Arabidopsis thaliana: one gene and its partners. The protein of the gene in region 1 interacts with the protein of each later gene in a pairwise test. Each region holds a gene or a part of one and is shown in the gene's direction. Other genes may lie near its edges. The genes, in order: MYB39, AT5G65910, AT1G43000 and IAA2.

The links.
Region 2: the proteins of MYB39 (region 1) and AT5G65910 interact in a two-hybrid assay, tested with the Arabidopsis thaliana proteins (one large-scale study listed by BioGRID).
Region 3: the proteins of MYB39 (region 1) and AT1G43000 interact in a two-hybrid assay, tested with the Arabidopsis thaliana proteins (one large-scale study listed by BioGRID).
Region 4: the proteins of MYB39 (region 1) and IAA2 interact in a two-hybrid assay, tested with the Arabidopsis thaliana proteins (one large-scale study listed by BioGRID).

Annotation. Positions count from the first base shown.
Region 1 is NC_003075.7:9,880,677-9,885,110, reverse strand, and holds MYB39 (myb domain protein 39), read left to right. Parts: upstream 1-1,678; 5' UTR 1,679-1,742; coding exon 1,743-2,008; intron 2,009-2,343; coding exon 2,344-3,123; coding exon of another isoform or gene 3,124-3,127; exon of another isoform or gene 3,128-3,207; coding exon 3,208-3,244; 3' UTR 3,245-3,512; downstream 3,513-4,434. Other genes in the region: AT4G17780 (F-box and associated interaction domains-containing protein), read left to right, coding at 3,656-4,434.
Region 2 is NC_003076.8:26,360,682-26,365,621, reverse strand, and holds AT5G65910 (BSD domain-containing protein), read left to right. Parts: upstream 1-2,133; 5' UTR 2,134-2,280; coding exon 2,281-2,809; intron 2,810-2,966; coding exon 2,967-3,154; intron 3,155-3,448; coding exon 3,449-4,030; 3' UTR 4,031-4,202; downstream 4,203-4,940. Other genes in the region: AT5G65920 (ARM repeat superfamily protein), read left to right, coding at 1-1,299; AT5G65900 (DEA(D/H)-box RNA helicase family protein), read right to left, coding at 4,378-4,533, 4,649-4,774, 4,858-4,926.
Region 3 is NC_003070.9:16,138,573-16,142,592, forward strand, and holds AT1G43000 (PLATZ transcription factor family protein), read left to right. Parts: upstream 1-1,953; 5' UTR 1,954-2,142; coding exon 2,143-2,145; intron 2,146-2,225; coding exon 2,226-2,429; intron 2,430-2,533; coding exon 2,534-2,749; intron 2,750-2,834; coding exon 2,835-3,083; 3' UTR 3,084-3,220; downstream 3,221-4,020.
Region 4 is NC_003074.8:8,179,862-8,183,843, reverse strand, and holds IAA2 (indole-3-acetic acid inducible 2), read left to right. Parts: upstream 1-1,748; 5' UTR 1,749-1,897; coding exon 1,898-2,331; intron 2,332-2,423; coding exon 2,424-2,775; 3' UTR 2,776-3,198; downstream 3,199-3,982. UniProt on the Arabidopsis thaliana protein: Aux/IAA proteins are short-lived transcriptional factors that function as repressors of early auxin response genes at low auxin concentrations.

The DNA of each region.
Region 1 (4,434 bases):
AATAAATATAGCATAGGAATTTTATACTATATGGTGCTACTAATTACATGGAACCCTTAATATATACGACTGTTTAAATAGTCAACGTGATAAATAGAGAGTTGGTAAGTGTTTGGTTTTAATTTGACAATGTGAAACAAGCCTGAACATTGACCCTTTAAACCATAACAGTAATTTAACGGTAAAAAAATAGTAATTAAGTATGTAAACAAGATCTTCCGTGAGAGTGAAATTAAACCTCATTATTTAAATTATACTAGTAAACATTTTCTCCAACCGTAGGAAATTTCGTTTTATGTTTTTTTTCTAATTTGTCGTGATCCTTCTCATTCCTTTGAAGACAACAAGATTCTATTATGAAAGATTTTTTCAAAGATCCAATAGTATAATACAACGTAATATATAATACCAACTTTATAGTTACACCTTCTAATAAAATCCACTTACTCGTTTATGTGTTCCTCACGCTATCGACTTAATGTTTGGAACCCGCGAGAGAAGTTCTTTAATTAAATTAGTCAATCGAAAAAAGCTATCCATTTCCTTTATCAAAGTAAATCAATTCGAAAATCTCGTATTAACTTGATCATCCAAATCCATATGTATATTTTCGAATAATATAAAACAGAAATTGAGATAACCTATACTAAAGAGAGTTTCACGTAAAAAATTTATATTTTCACGTAACAAAAAATTACAAAACAATTAAACAAAAAACAAATGATAATAGCATAGGTAATTTTTTGTGACTTGAAATTCAGAACGTATGGTAGGCACAAACGACGGTTTGGTAACAATAAGGAGAATAATAATAATCTTCGTTTGAATTCAAATAGAGGAAGAAGAAGCGAAAGGGTAGGCTTTGATCAACCATGAGACATTGAAGCAGGTAGAGATAATTCTTTGAATGCGGTGGAAGCAATCACATAATGATAAATGCAAGATTCCAATTTTGATGAACTTTGCAATGAGAACATAATATTGCTTTTCAATTAAATATTAGTTAAATATACCCTTCAAGAAAAGTAGTTAACAAGTTTAATTTATAATCATGCATTTATGCGAAATTCTTATTTGTAGGTTTTAATCTAAATAGAGAAATATACACATATATAGGAAATATTCAAAAATGATCACATGCATGTTTAATTTTTGAAAAATGTGGCTTTCTTTTATAACATAATTTCAATAAGATTAGTTTGAATTGCAGATTATGAAATAGTATATAATTTGTGATTGTTTTACAAGTAAAAGAGCGTAAGAAATTTGGTCCCAAAAAAAAAAGATTTTAGTAGGGAAATATCAACATTTTATTCTAACATAGCTAGGGCAAATATTTTATACATCTAACCCACAATAACAAAATCCATTAATGCATTAACAATTATTCGTATTCTTTTATATAAAAATTATTTGTTTGAACATCATCCCCACGAATTACTCTTCGAAGTTCGAACGCCATGACACATATCATATTATCAGTACCTAATCTTGATTTTGTTATAACTATTTTGGTTATTTAACTGATTTATTGAATGACTCATATATTGTAGACTTATGACACACTATGAAAAATAATATTTACACCAAATTCTGACGAATGCATACACAACTTTACTTTAGTTATGTCATGACTGCTTTTCACATCTATATATACATACAAACCTAATCGTAGGGAGCGACGAAACGAAGATCATATCTTCAAAAACCTCTGATAAGTTTTGGTTCTTGATATAAACAAAATGGGAAGATCACCGTGTTGCGATCAAGACAAAGGCGTGAAGAAAGGACCGTGGCTGCCAGAAGAAGATGATAAGCTCACTGCTTATATAAACGAGAATGGTTATGGGAATTGGCGGTCGCTTCCTAAGCTCGCTGGACTTAACCGCTGTGGCAAGAGCTGTCGGCTCCGGTGGATGAATTATCTCCGGCCTGATATCCGGAGAGGCAAATTTTCCGATGGAGAAGAGAGTACTATCGTTAGACTCCATGCCCTCCTTGGCAACAAGTAAGACTATTTTTTTTTCGTTAAAGCTTTTATGCTATTTTGTTAGCACTAAATGATTTAGGTCTCGCTTGTTTCAGACGTAATTATGTGTTCCTGTTTACATGTTTTTTTCATAATTTTAAAATATAAACCATTTTCAGTTCTTTTAAAATTAATATAAAGTGCAAAAACAAATTTACGTATGGATACCATTGCATAGTTTATTATTGCTATTATAGAATTCACATCCTCAAGACTATAGTCTAAACTTTAGTTTATAATTCTCTAACCATACAAAAGGTTAAGTTTTCGTTGGTTCATTTTACTAACGTTTGAGTCGAATTTTTACCATACAGATGGTCGAAAATTGCGGGTCATCTTCCAGGAAGAACAGATAATGAAATTAAAAACTATTGGAACACTCATATGAGGAAGAAGTTATTGCAAATGGGGATTGATCCAGTGACGCACGAGCCAAGAACCAACGATCTTAGCCCTATCCTCGATGTTTCTCAAATGCTCGCGGCAGCAATCAACAATGGCCAATTTGGTAACAATAACCTCCTCAACAATAACACCGCTTTGGAAGATATTCTTAAACTCCAATTGATCCATAAAATGCTTCAAATCATAACCCCCAAAGCCATACCAAACATCAGTAGCTTCAAGACCAATTTACTGAATCCTAAACCAGAACCGGTAGTCAATAGCTTCAATACCAATTCAGTGAATCCTAAACCGGATCCCCCGGCTGGTCTTTTCATAAACCAAAGTGGAATCACTCCTGAGGCCGCCTCGGATTTCATTCCATCTTATGAAAATGTTTGGGATGGTTTTGAAGATAACCAGCTTCCTGGTTTGGTTACGGTTTCTCAAGAGAGTTTAAATACAGCAAAACCGGGTACCAGTACGACCACCAAGGTAAATGATCATATCAGAACCGGTATGATGCCGTGTTACTATGGTGATCAACTACTAGAAACCCCATCTACTGGTTCGGTATCGGTCTCTCCCGAGACAACCAGTTTGAACCATCCCAGTACAGCTCAACACTCATCCGGTTCAGATTTCCTAGAGGACTGGGAGAAGTTTCTTGATGATGAAACAAGTGATTCTTGCTGGAAAAGTTTCTTAGAGTAAGATCTATCTCCGCATTGATTAACATAGTATATGATTTATATTTATGGTTTATTAACAGAATTGTTTTATCTAATCTGCAGCTTAACGTCACCCACATCGTCACCTGTCCCATGGTAGAACTGGATTTTGTTCGGGTCGTATACTCATAGTTTTAAAGACAATACATACACAAAGATATTCGATTAATACTCTTAATTTTGTTTGTTATTAAATATTGATTTAAAGTTTGTATATTTTCTTGTAAAGGAATTCTTATTTGTAATTTGTTCTTATTTGGTTTGGTTGTTGTGTAAAGAAACACATTGTAATCACCATTCTATTATTGCCCATTTAATAACAATATTTTGGATAAATATCTACGAGCAGTCTAATTTATACAATCAAACAACTCTATGGAAACATAACTTGATTCACAAGTTTAATAAAAATTCACCTATTTGCCAATAAGGAAATATATTAAAATGTCAATCTCTCGATGTTTCTAACAGAAAGATTGACAAAAAATCAAAAAACAAACAGTCACCAAGAATGGAGGAAGAAGAGAAAAACCCTAGTTCGATCTACATAGTTGCCGATCTTCTAGAAGATATATTCCTTCGACTTCCCTTGAAATCCATTCTCATATCGAAAAGCGTCTCAAAACGATGGAGATCAATTCTTGAGTCGAAGACGTTCGTGGAGAGACGAATGAGTCTTCAAAAGAAGCGCAAAATCCTGGCTGCTTACAACTGCAAATGCGGCTGGGAGCCTAGGCTCCTCCCCGGGTCGTCGCAGTGCAAAGGGAACGAAGAGATCGTCTATCTGCACTGCAACGCCGCACAACCCTCGTTTACTTGCGACGGTTTGGTCTGCATTCTCGAACCACGTTGGATAGACGTTTTGAACCCCTGGACAAGGCAACTCCGGCGATACGGATTCGGATTTGGAACCATATTTGGAGTAGGTTCGGCTTTCTCTCCAAGACATTGGGCAATGGGATTTGGTAAAGATAAAGTTACCGGAAGCTATAAAGTAGTGAAGATGTGTTTAATATCTTTCAGTGAAATTTGTGCACGTGATCCTGAGGTGGAGTATAGTGTTCTTGATGTCGAAACTGGTGAATGGCGGATGTTGAGTCCACCTCCTTATAAGGTCTTTGAGGTAAGAAAATCGGAGTGTGCGAATGGATCGATCTACTGGTTACACAAACCTACTGAGAGGGCTTGGACAATACTAGCCTTGGATCTTCACAAAGAAGAGTTACATAACATTTCAGTTCCTGATATGAGTGTCACGCAAGAAACCTTCCAAATAGTGAACCTTGAGGA
Region 2 (4,940 bases), on another chromosome or scaffold:
GATGGGCATATCTTAGATCTACACTCGGCGGTTAAAGACGGTGTTCTTGGCGGCGGAGATGGGAAATTTCTGGTGGTTGTTACCGATGAGAAGAAGAAATTGGATTTGAAGGAGATGATTTCTGAGCTGGAATTACCTGAAATACCCTCTGTTTTCATCTGTCCTATCTCTCTAGAGCCGATGCAAGATCCAGTGACCTTGTGTACTGGTCAAACCTACGAGAGGTCCAACATTCTCAAATGGTTCAATATAGGGCATTGTACTTGCCCAACGACGATGCAAGAGCTTTGGGATGATTTGGTCACTCCTAACAAGACTCTTCACCAATTGATCTACACTTGGTTTTCACAGAAGTATGTTTTGATGAAGAAACGATCTGAAGATGTGCAAGGACGTGCTATTGAGATTCTGGGTACGTTGAGAAAGGCTAAAGGGAAAGCAAAGGTTCATGCTTTAAGCGAGCTTAAGCAAGTTGTGATGGCTCACGCTATTGCTAAGAAGACTGTTGTTGATGAAGGTGGAGTCTTTGTGATCTCTTCTCTTTTAAGTCCTTTTACTTCTCACGCTGTTGGATCTGAGGCTATAGCTATTCTTGTTAATCTTGAGCTTGACTCTGATTCCAAAGCTGGATTGATGCAACCAGCTAGGGTCTCGTTGATGGTTGATATGTTGAATGATGGTTCGATTGAAACTAAGATCAATTGTGCTAGATTGATTGGAAGGTTGGTGGAGGAGAAAGGTTTTAGAGCAGAGCTTGTTTCTAGTCATAGTTTGCTTGTTGGATTAATGAGATTGGTTAAAGATAGGAGACGAAGAAACGGCGTTTCGCCTGCGTTAACGCTGCTCAAATCGGTTTCTGTTCATAAACAAGTTAGGAACTTGTTGGTTAGGATTGGTGCAGTTCCTCAATTGGTTGATGTTTTGCCATGTTTGGATGTGGAGTGTTTAGAGTCAGCTCTTTTCGTGTTGGATTCGTTATGTTTAGAAAGCGAAGGCAGAATTGCTTTGAAAGATTCGGTTAACACGATTCCGCATACCGTTAGGTTACTGATGAAGGTATCAGAGAAATGCACAAACTATGCGATATCGATTCTTTGGTCAGTTTGCAAATTAGCTTCTGAAGAATGTTCATCTCTTGCTGTTGAAGTTGGTTTGGCTGCAAAGCTTTTGCTTGTGATACAAAGTGGATGTGATCCAGCTTTGAAGCAACGTTCAGCTGAGCTATTGAAGTTATGTAGTCTACATTATTCAGACTCAATGTTTATCTCCAAATGTAAACTCACAAGAACTATCCAATAAAAGACTGATCAAGTTTTCACCTTTCGGGTCAAAATCACACAACGGATCTGCCCCATCTTGTTGATGTATATAGAAATGAAGAAGCTCAAGGAGTATGAGAGTAAGAAACGAGTTTCGATGTGTTGAATTCTATTTTGCAATGTTATTTGAATAATAATAGTTAAGTAGAAGTAAACTGTATAAATCTTTTTGTTGTGGTTGGTTCATTATTCAGTAGAAGAATAGATTGAAGAAAGGAATCATTTTTTTGGCCTCTTGTAAGTTACTAGCTGTTTGTGAGTCATAATAATTGGAGAAATTATTGATCTATGAATCGTTTTATTTGACACTCTTATAACCCTTAGTGATTCTTGATAGAACAGTAGGATTAGAAAACAGATATGGGTGGGTTTCAGATTTGTGGAGGGGAATAAAAGTCTTATTTTTTGAACATGCATTGGTCTGATTTGTATGCACTGTGTAAATGAATGAACAATTGAAAAGAAAGGATGATTTGACTTATGAATCGTTTCAACAGTTCACTGTTTGTTTATCTCTGTTTTTTATTTAATTGGCTATGAGAATCTGAACATATCTCTTGGAAACATTGTATCAGTGAGTGTGATGTCACTGATGTGAGAGCTCTTGTCTGGAAATAAAATCTAAACACAGTTACCAAATCTGGAAAACAATTTGTCTCAAGTTAGAAAAAATAAAATATAAATAATTTCCCGAATAGGAGCTATCTTAAGATGGGCCTTAGTTGAACTATATGGGCTATTATCCAGGTCCAGTAATATTTTGACAGTCAATACAAAATGTCGTCTTTGGCTCTAAATTGGATTAAGCTATTAAGTAAGATAAAGATTACAATATTTAAATTAGATATTGATTTAGACGGAGATTTCATTATCTATCTCTCAAGTTTGATTTGCTTCTGCTGTAACAAAAAGATCACGATCGCAACTTGTGTGTATGTGTGTGTGAGAGAGAGATTCAGATATGGCTTGGTTAGCTAGATCCATAGCGAACTCACTCAAGCTCGATGAGGAAGATGAAGATGATGATAAGCATCTGAATCAACAGCCGTCGGAATCTGTATCGGATTCACAGTCTCCACGAGGCGTTAAGGAAGACATTAGCGAACTTACCAAGACCTTGAGAACCCAATTTTGGGGTGTAGCTTCGTTCCTCTCGCAACCTTCTTCATCTCCGGATCTTCAGGAGAGAAATCAAACTCCCGATCATCCGGAGGAAGATGAGGATCTAATCGCTGGGATTAAGAACGATTTCGCTGAGATTGGTGGGAGATTCAGGACTGGGATTTCGAAACTATCTGGGAACTTACCTGTGTCTGAGTTCACAAAGATCGCTTCGAATTTCTTACAATTGAGTTCAGAAGATGTGGATCCGAAAGATTACGACGTAATCGGAGTTACAGAGGAATTAGTTGCGTTTGTGAAGGATCTTGCGATGCATCCTGAGACTTGGTTGGATTTTCCTTTACCTGATGACGACGATAGCTTTGATGGTAAGTTTTAGTTTCAGATCTTTCCTTATATATCTGAAATTGTTTCTGTGAATAGTGAAGTTCAAGTTTGATTTTGTTTTCAGTTTATATGCTTTCATGATTGGGGTATTGGGTGTTTCAGTTATTCTCAATTGTCTGTTTTTAAATCAATTTTCAGACTTTGAATTGGCCGATGCTCAATACGAGCACGCTTTAGCTGTAGAAAGGCTAGCACCGAGCTTGGCTTCTTTGAGGATTGAGCTTTGCCCTGAATATATGACTGAGAATTGCTTCTGGAGGATTTACTTTGTTCTTGTGCATCCTAAACTCAGTAAAGACCATGCCTTGCTTCTCTCCACTCCTCAGGTAAGTTTGGATTCTCAACTCCATTGCTTACAAATGTCTACCTATTTCCTTGTTTTCAAGTTTATGCCTTTCACATTGTATATAGTTGTAACCCTATGCCTGATGCTAATCATACTCTTCTAGAAAGTTATATGGTAATCCAAAACAGTGATCCTCATAAGTGAAGAGTTGTAGCATGTCAATCAGGTTTGCTAGATTTGTAAGCTTCTAGGTGGTGCTACTTCAGGTTTCCTGCGATAAAGTTAGATCATTTATTGTTCCTGTCACTAATTTTTTTTGCCTTTGCTTATGAAGGTACTCGAAGCAAGATCAATGTTATCTCAGGAACTACAGAAACGAAGCAAATTACCTGTAGAAGCAGGGAGTTCTGAAGCTAATACTGTCATTGTGGAACCTCTTACTGTGCCTCCTTCACCAGAAACAGCAGCTGTTAAAATCGTAAATCCAGTCGAGTCATCTGACGTTGAAACAGACAAGCACCCTATTGAGAGCAAAGAGATACAAATTGTTGACAAATCTGTCATTGAAGAAAGAAGCACATCCACTGCTTCTTCATCTAGATTTATTAATGTGCAAGTGGATGATGAAGACGACGACGATGCAGATGATTGGTTGAATGATGAAGAGACTTCATCAGTTAGCGCCATTGGAGGAAGATCAACCACAAATCATCCTTTTGGTGAAGACGAAGAAGATGTATCATTCAGTGATCTAGAAGAAGAAGACGATAACGAAGGAGACGTGAAAGTGAGTTACAAGAACCTTACTAACTCTGGTTCTGATTCTTCAGACAAAAAATCACCAGATTGGGTTCAGCTAAAAGAGGTAAAAGAGAAGAAAAAATCAAACGACTGGCTTGATGTTGATGCAGTGTGATGTGATCTCCAATGTTTCTTTTGGCAATATATAACATTTAAATCTACGTCTTGCAAATATCTGATGCTACCGAAATTTGTTGTGAATAATTTTTATATTCCATTTTATCAAAACCTATATAGCCGTAGTAAAAAAAACTGCAATGTTTATATATAAGACCAAGTTTATTCGCAAAACAAAATGATCAATATTTCTAAGTAACGGGGACAAAACTGGTATCTCGTCTGATATCTCTGGAAACAGCTTAAGACAACACAATCGTAAATGAATCCAAAAATAAGATACAACATTCGTTAAAAGGCATGTGCCATACTACTAAGTATGACGTTGTTTGTGCAACTGTATTTTTAGTACCTCTCGAACTTGCTTTTACCGCCGGGTCTACCACCACCACGACCTCTCTTAAACTTATTAACCGGTTCTCTCTTACTTCTGTACCCTCCTCGATCTATCTTCAGAGCAACTTTGGGAGGATCTGAGAAACCAAACGAAGTCGCAACCTCCTGCACATAAACAAAGACCTTCGGTTAACGTTTAAATTGCAGAAAACAAAAACAAATTGTATTCCTGATTTCATGACGTTTCGTATTGTTATATGTATGCTGCAGATTTGGTTACCGTGAGATTGAGTTGGTGAACATTAAAGACATCTTTCATAGAGTGAGAATCATATCCTGAAATGTATGTCTTGTATGCTTCTTTTGCTGACTCCTTCAATGCATAGTTTTCAGATATCAAATTCTCCTGCAATAACATTTTAAATAAATCTCTCAACTTTTGTTTCTTCAGTGTAGTAAAACTTATTTGAAAGAGCAAGAATGTTTTACCACAAAAGGTTTCACATCGAGCAATTTCTTTTCTTCAAATTCATGTTCCTCAACAGGAATTTTCGCCGCCTGCAAATTATACA
Region 3 (4,020 bases), on another chromosome or scaffold:
GAGTATACAGAGATCCATCCTCAAATTCCTGATGTTTATATATTTCCAACATTAACATCTATTAAATTGTTTTACGATGAAAATTATTTCAAGATTGTGTGAATAATTACACTTTTTCAAAAAGTACTTAAAAAGTAGTTTAACATTAAAAGCAGTTGATGATTATATATTTTTCAATAAAATGTTAAATTATATTTTAAAAAAAGTAGATAAAGTGCAATTTCAATTAGAAACGAATAGAAGACAAGTTTTAAACACCAATAGAAATATTAAAAAGCTAGATGATGTTAGTTTTAACTTCTGGACAAAAACCAAATTTGGAGGTCGTATCTCTTGTCCCCAAGAAGTCTGATTGATGAGATTTGATTTTGGACTTGCTTATCAACCGAACTTGTCAATAATAGCATTAGTAATTATAATTTTAGTAACACATTATTTACATTAATTATAATTTTAGGACAATTGTATTAACCTGACTTGTGATCTAATGACGTGGTTCATAAAGTCACTTATCGAAAGTTAATAGTGTATATTTTCTATGATATAGTTCTTTTATAATGCTAATTAAATACCTATGAAGAAATATAAGGATTGCAAATTTTGTAATTAAACTAATAGAGAGGACTCTAACAAAGCTATTTAACTACGTAAAGCATATATTTCCTTTTGTATATTACTTTTTTGTTTGTATGTAAGCGGGAATACTTACCACATGTACTACAATTCCTTGTTCACCAAACTTCAAATAACTTCCCCAACGTCCTAAGTAACATCTTTAAAATTTGAAGAACATGATAGCGAGGGAAACTAAATTCAACGTGAATTTATTTTACTTGGTTTTACTCTACTTTTGTTACTACCAAGGTGAATTTGATTTAAACCTAGTTCAAAGTCACTTTTTTCTAGCCTAGCTCAAATTATATAAATTGTGCAATGTTGTAATTGTCCTAGTCTAATTATCATCACGTTTTTTAAATTTTAGTATTGATTTCACATGTCTTAATTTTAAATTTTATTTGATGATATATTATTTGACATAGTATAAATTTCTTTTTAACACGCGTTAAAAGCAATAATTTTCTTAAAAATATTTAACCAAATTTAGCTTGTATTATACAAAAATAAAATGAGTAATATCACTACCTAACTATACTTTAGGTTTTTATTATCAAAATTTATATATGACATTTTATTATCAAAATCTATATATGACATTTTGTACATATAGTGGTTCATTTCTCACACAAGTTCTTTTAAATTTATTTTAAATTTAGTATAGATTTCACGTAACGGTTTTAAGAAGATATTCCTATTTTGTTTGACTATATTATTTGATATAATATCACTTTCTTTTTGACACGCGTCAAAAATAATAATTTCCATTAAAATCATTTGACCACTTTTAACTCTTGTTGGATTATCTACCAAATATAATTGATGTTATATAGCTATTTTATATCAAAGTCATTTTTTGGAAAAACAGGGGCTTTTAGTTAAATAAAAAAACTAGAGGACCTATAAGTAAAAATATTATAATATATAATAACATAAAAAGATAAGTAATTAACATGAGTACTATGAAAAAAAATCACACAAGCAATAAGAATTAGTAAATCATTTGTCAATCATGGTATTAATAACACATTATTTACATAAATTTTATTTTTCTTATATCTAACACGCGTCAGAAAAGATAACTGTTGTCAATATATTTATTTTACTAATTTTAACAAATAATTTATTATCTACCAAATAAAATGACAACAAAATAAAAATCTAGATCTAAATACAGCAAACCAAATAAAACCAAAGCAAAATTGATGAGAAAAAATGCTCTTTTTCACAAAACTAGGGGGTTTTGAGATTATAAAATAAATAAAGAGTCTAAATGTAAAGTTATTATAACAATATGGAAGAAAATATAAATAAAAATAAGTAACAAAAAGTAAAAAAGGCCGACCTTTTCAGTGTCTTATAAATTTCTCCATCGTCTTCTTCTTCTTCTTCTTCTTCGTCTTCTCTCTGTAAACCCCCACACAAACCTGTGGCCGCTATATTCTCCATTTTCTCAGTAACCATCTCTGTTTTTTTCTCTGTTTCTCAGATTAAGTTTCGTGTGTCAAACAGATCAAAACCCAAACAATGGTTATTCCTCTGTTTTTTTCAGAATTTTTCAATCGATGTTATTTTATAGAAATTGATTCATGGGTCTGTGTTATTTTCAGGTGAGTTCCATTGTAAAAATGGAGAACGACGACGTAATGACTCCGCCATGGCTAACACCAATGCTTCGAGCTGATTACTTCGTGACTTGTTCGATTCATTCACAATCGAGTAAAAGTGAATGTAATCTGTTTTGTTTGGATTGTTCAGGCAATGCCTTTTGTTCTTCTTGTCTCGCTCATCACAGAACCCATCGTGTTATCCAGGTTTGGTTTTCAATTTTTCATTACCCATCTATCTCTCAGGAATTTTGTCGAACACGTTTGTTTAATGAACCTAATTCTATGTTTTTTTTTTGTTGTTGTTACAGATTCGACGATCGTCGTATCATAATGTGGTGAGAGTGAGTGAGATTCAAAAACATATTGATATCTCTTGTATTCAGACTTATGTTATCAATAGTGCTAAGATCTTCTTCTTAAACGCGAGACCTCAATGTCGAACTGGTAAAAGCTTAAACAAAACATGTCAGATCTGTTCTCGTAACCTTCTCGATTCGTTCCTGTTCTGTTCTCTTGCTTGTAAGGTAAATGCTGCAATGTTGTGGTCTTTCTTCAAACTCAAGTTTGATTATATAGGTTTCTTGATTGTTTCTTATTGGTCTAAAATAGCTTGAAGGTGTGAAGAATGGAGAGGATCCAAACCTGACTTTATTTCATAGTGGAAAGAGTGATGACTCGTCGAAGATCATCAATACCGGGATTTGTAGCCGTTTGATCGACGGGATCTCGATTGCGGTTGACGACCAACGCAGCGAAACCGCGGGTGTGTTATCTCCAGAGACACCTTCAATAGAAAGCCACCGGAATTACCCAATGAAGAGTAGAAGAAAGGGTATACCTCAACGAGCACCTTTCTAAAAGGCTTTATGAAAGAGTTAAGATATAAGATAGAATATGGGAAGGATCAGAAAAGAGAAAACAAAAAGTGTTGGTAAATGACTAATGAGTAAATGGAATCATCTTACATAAATAGTAGCAAGCTTAATGATTATAAGAGTACAGAACAAAAGTGTGATTTTTTCATAGATATTGGGTTATAAATATATGATTTTAAACAGCCTTATTTACCTCACTTTTGTCTCTTTAATTATTTTTTATAGCACTATCATCTATTTTTATGATTTGGAAAAATAAAATTTTAAAATGTCACATCACATTTACAAAACATGGAGATGTAAAAATACATATTTGTATATTTATAGGAGATTCCTTCATGGTCTTTTGAATGTTCATTTTAGCTTAAAAAGTGAGAGAGTGAGTTGGCATTTATGGAGGGGATATGTGAAAAGTATGGTATAAAATAAGCTTGGTTTAATAAAGAATGGAGAAAGTGTAGTGGTGCGGATTTGTCATACTTTGCCATCAACATTGTTTTTGGGGTTTGGTGAGAGTATCTTATAATTTTTTGGGCAAAGATATATTTCCTTTTGTGGAAGGTAAATCATGTTTTGCTTGTTTACCTCCTTTTAAAGAAAACGATTTAATTTTTTATTTTGCCAAAGGATTTTCATTTTTATTGACTTTGTAGGTTCATATGGTGGACACAAACATATTGGGATTAGCCCATACATTACAAGGCTCATGCCCCATTAAAGATGTCAACTGGGCTGTTCATGTCCAAATGAACAGCCCTATTTTTTGGTCATTATTGGTTTAAGCTAAATGGGATCAAATCCAAATTAGACCAAACCCAAAAAGAACCATAATAAATCAGGCAATCCATGGGTCCAAATCTTATTATATAAAATACAGTTTAGAAAGTTAGTAACTCGCGAGATCATGACATATGGCAAGT
Region 4 (3,982 bases), on another chromosome or scaffold:
TATGTACGTTAAAATTGTCATCAGAATCTGTAGTCCTTGTAGAGTAAAAAATATCAAATATTAACATAAAAGAACAAACAACTGTTGATTCAGTACATAAATTAATACATTAAATTGACCACAGAGACCAAAATAATCTAAAAATGATTTATGTATTTGGCTTAAGTTCAATATTGTTTTTTAGGCAAAACTTAATGTTCAATATATATTCATGGAATTAACTCCATAATAAACAGTAACTGAATTCTCTTGTACTTTCTTAAATGGTTTTCAGTAAAAAGGTTTAGTTTAACCAACAAATAACTTTAGCAATCATCTATATAAGCATAAAGCATCACATAGATCTAGTAGTTATGTTTCTATAATACATTTTCACTAAGACTAAAACATGCATGAACACACAAACAGGAAAAAACTATTCTCAAGAAGTTTGTTTCCCACCATGTTAAGTGATTCTAGAAATCTGTAAATGGTTAACCTTTAGTATTCATTCGTGCAATATTTAACAGACAAATGGTATTCATTCGTGCATCTCTCAGTTTGTGAGAAAATACATTGCATGAGTTCGTTATTAACTGGAAATAATACATAAAACTCTGACAATCAGAACCTCTAAATTATTTACTTATAAGAAGAGAGGCAACGTATCTTGCATCGCTTTTACTTATCTAATCTTTTGGTGATGGAAGGGGCAAGAACATAGAAGGAATCTTTATCTTAAAAGAAGAGAAAACAAATAATATCCAAAATTGGTAAATCCATTGAATAAAGCCTAACGTTAACATCAAATCGCATGCGGATTAGAAGCTAAATGCACATAGTTAAGCGTAATCTATGGGGAGAAATTAATTACCACTTTTTGGTTCATTCTTTTAAGTTTTATGATTCAATGAATACATAGCACGTGGAACCTCTCTCCCCCACAACCCATTTTGAAGGGAAATGAATAATTAAAAGAGACATACACATAAGAAAGCACATGGCTTTACCATTCCTCTATCAATTACCAACACATTTGACCCTTATCCACATGGGTCTTCGTCTCCTATTATAAAATCAAAATCTACACACAAAATGTTATAACATTTTCCAACTCACAATATACAAAATGCCACGCATAAATATGTCTTCGCAAGACAAATATGTAACGTTTAATATTCGATATTATCTGAGATTTAACCATAAAACTAATATTTCTTTATTAATCAAATTACATCTACGAGCAAAAATGATAAAATTCAACTTATGCACATTCAATAGTTCGTAACACATAAGAGTACTTGGAAACTCTAAATAATCTTCATTTTGGAATCAGGATTCAATAAAATAGTACTTTATTTGACATAAGTGTCCTTTTAACCATTTTTTACACCATACGTTTTTTCTTCTGAATCGAAATTTTTACATCATACTTTCAAAACATCTATTAATCTTTTAAGTTAAAAATTAATAAATCAATAGAAGTAAACTAAAAATAATAATCAACTTTCACATCAAATTTTAAGACAACACATTATATTTAAATATATATTAAGAATATCTATTATGCAACAAATGGATTAACAATCATTAGCACTTGATATTTTCTTTATAACCTGCACTATACACTTTCAAAAAGAGAAGAAGAAACCTTTAAGAAACAGTAAATAAATGTTATTATAATACACCTCTTTAGTCTTTACTTTATTTATATTTTCTCTGTTTGCTTTTATTCCGGGTCGGCCGATAGAATTCTCATCATTTCATTCATTTTTATATTCTTTCGTTATAATTATTATACATCCTTTGAAAGAAAAAGAAGAGGCAATAGAGATGGACGGCTAAGATGTTAACGTAAACAAAGTTGGCGGAGGGAAAAGAGGAGCGTGGAATAATTAAACAAAAGAGTCGTGTCCACATGGGCGGCCTCAAGCTTCGTGTCCCACTTTTGTCCCCTTGCCTCTTTCTTGCCTTTCATGCTTCCGACAACACTTCTCTCTCTTCCTTTAACCCTAACTTCGATGCTCCTTTATATATATCTCTCTCCCCTTTTCTCCAAAACTCATCAACCAGCTCACCAAGAACAAGAACAAGAAGAAGAAGAACAAGACAAGAAGAACAAAGTACCCAAGAAAACACACAAGAAGGAAACACAAAGATTGATATTGATCCAAAAGCAATGGCGTACGAGAAAGTCAACGAGCTTAACCTTAAGGACACAGAGCTATGTCTTGGATTACCCGGAAGAACAGAGAAGATCAAAGAAGAACAAGAGGTTTCTTGCGTTAAAAGTAACAACAAGCGTCTATTTGAGGAAACTCGTGATGAAGAAGAATCTACACCTCCTACCAAGTAAGTAGAAGAGATCTGAGTTTCAAATTGGCTTCTTTCAAATTATTGGCTCTTGAATAGTTTTACTAATCTTTCTTTCCTCAAATTTACAGAACTCAAATCGTTGGTTGGCCACCAGTGAGATCTTCCCGTAAGAACAACAACAGTGTGAGCTACGTGAAAGTGAGTATGGACGGAGCTCCTTACCTTCGCAAGATCGATCTCAAGACATACAAAAACTACCCCGAGCTTCTCAAAGCGTTAGAGAATATGTTCAAAGTCATGATTGGTGAATATTGTGAGAGAGAAGGATACAAAGGATCTGGATTTGTACCAACATACGAAGATAAAGATGGTGACTGGATGTTGGTTGGTGATGTTCCATGGGACATGTTCTCTTCTTCTTGTAAGAGACTCAGAATCATGAAGGGATCCGACGCTCCTGCTCTAGACTCTTCCTTATGATCCAGAGAAGCTGAGAATCTTTTGTCTAAAAAGGAGATGATGACTATGATCGATGAATGAAAAACCCTTTTTGGTTTGATTCGGATCGGAGTTTGACTAAAGTTGACCGTGAAAGACGAAACTTCGGGGTTTTGTCCGACGAGAGATCCATCTCTAGTGATGTTCTTTTTGTTTTTGTATTTAGATTTGAAGTTTGATGTAAAGATACATGAGATTTTATGTATAATACGGACACATACACAATCTATAGATGTATAATGTATTAAGTAGTTATGTCCTATAAGATCATCAGTTTTCTGTTCTTGATCACGAACATAATATTTTAAATTTCAGAAACTTATACACATTTGTTTAGCCAAGGTTATTTATTAACTTTTTTTTTTGTTTAAAGTTTAACCAAGGTTATTATTTACTTATTCAGCAAAACATTTACCACCACATGAGACAAATTTTCTATAATGCCTTCCCAAAACACATCCACAATTCTATAGATAGGCCTTGTCGATCAAAAGATTTCAAAAACAATTTTTCTTTTTGATGAATTGTAAATGACTCTGTCTCTTCAGCTTATTAGATGTTTTAGCTAAACTGCAAGAATTATTATGTAATAATTTTGTTATATTAAAAACAGAAATTAATATCTAACCTAAACAATTCAACCAATTGTAAAAAAATATTACATAATAATATAAGTCTGATAACATATGAAATTGAAAAACACAATTTAATATAATAAAACTGAGAAAATAATATTAGTTTTTCTAGGGTAAAGGTTATTAATATTACATAAAAACATAATAATATTAATAAAACACAATTTAAGATTATAGATTTTTAGACTACAAAAGGGCTCATGGGAAGTTCTCGAACCGGAACTGAACCAAAATACCGAACGCCAATGACTAGTTTTCAAGTATGTTTTTTTCATTATGTGAACCAAGTAATAAAAAATCATTTCTCTTCTAATAGGGTTCTTATGTGCATATGATCAAGGTTTTGGGATTATTTGGAAATCAAATATATAAAGAGTTGTTTTCTATAAATAAATAAAACTTCAGGAGTTTACAGCTTTTTATTTCCTTTAAGGGCTTAAACTATTACGAAATTATCAATTTAATCCTCAAATGTATTCTCTTTCCAATCGGACAAAGGACCTTTGCGCGCGCAATTTTATCCATTAGCAACAACGCCAGAAAAAAATCTCGTC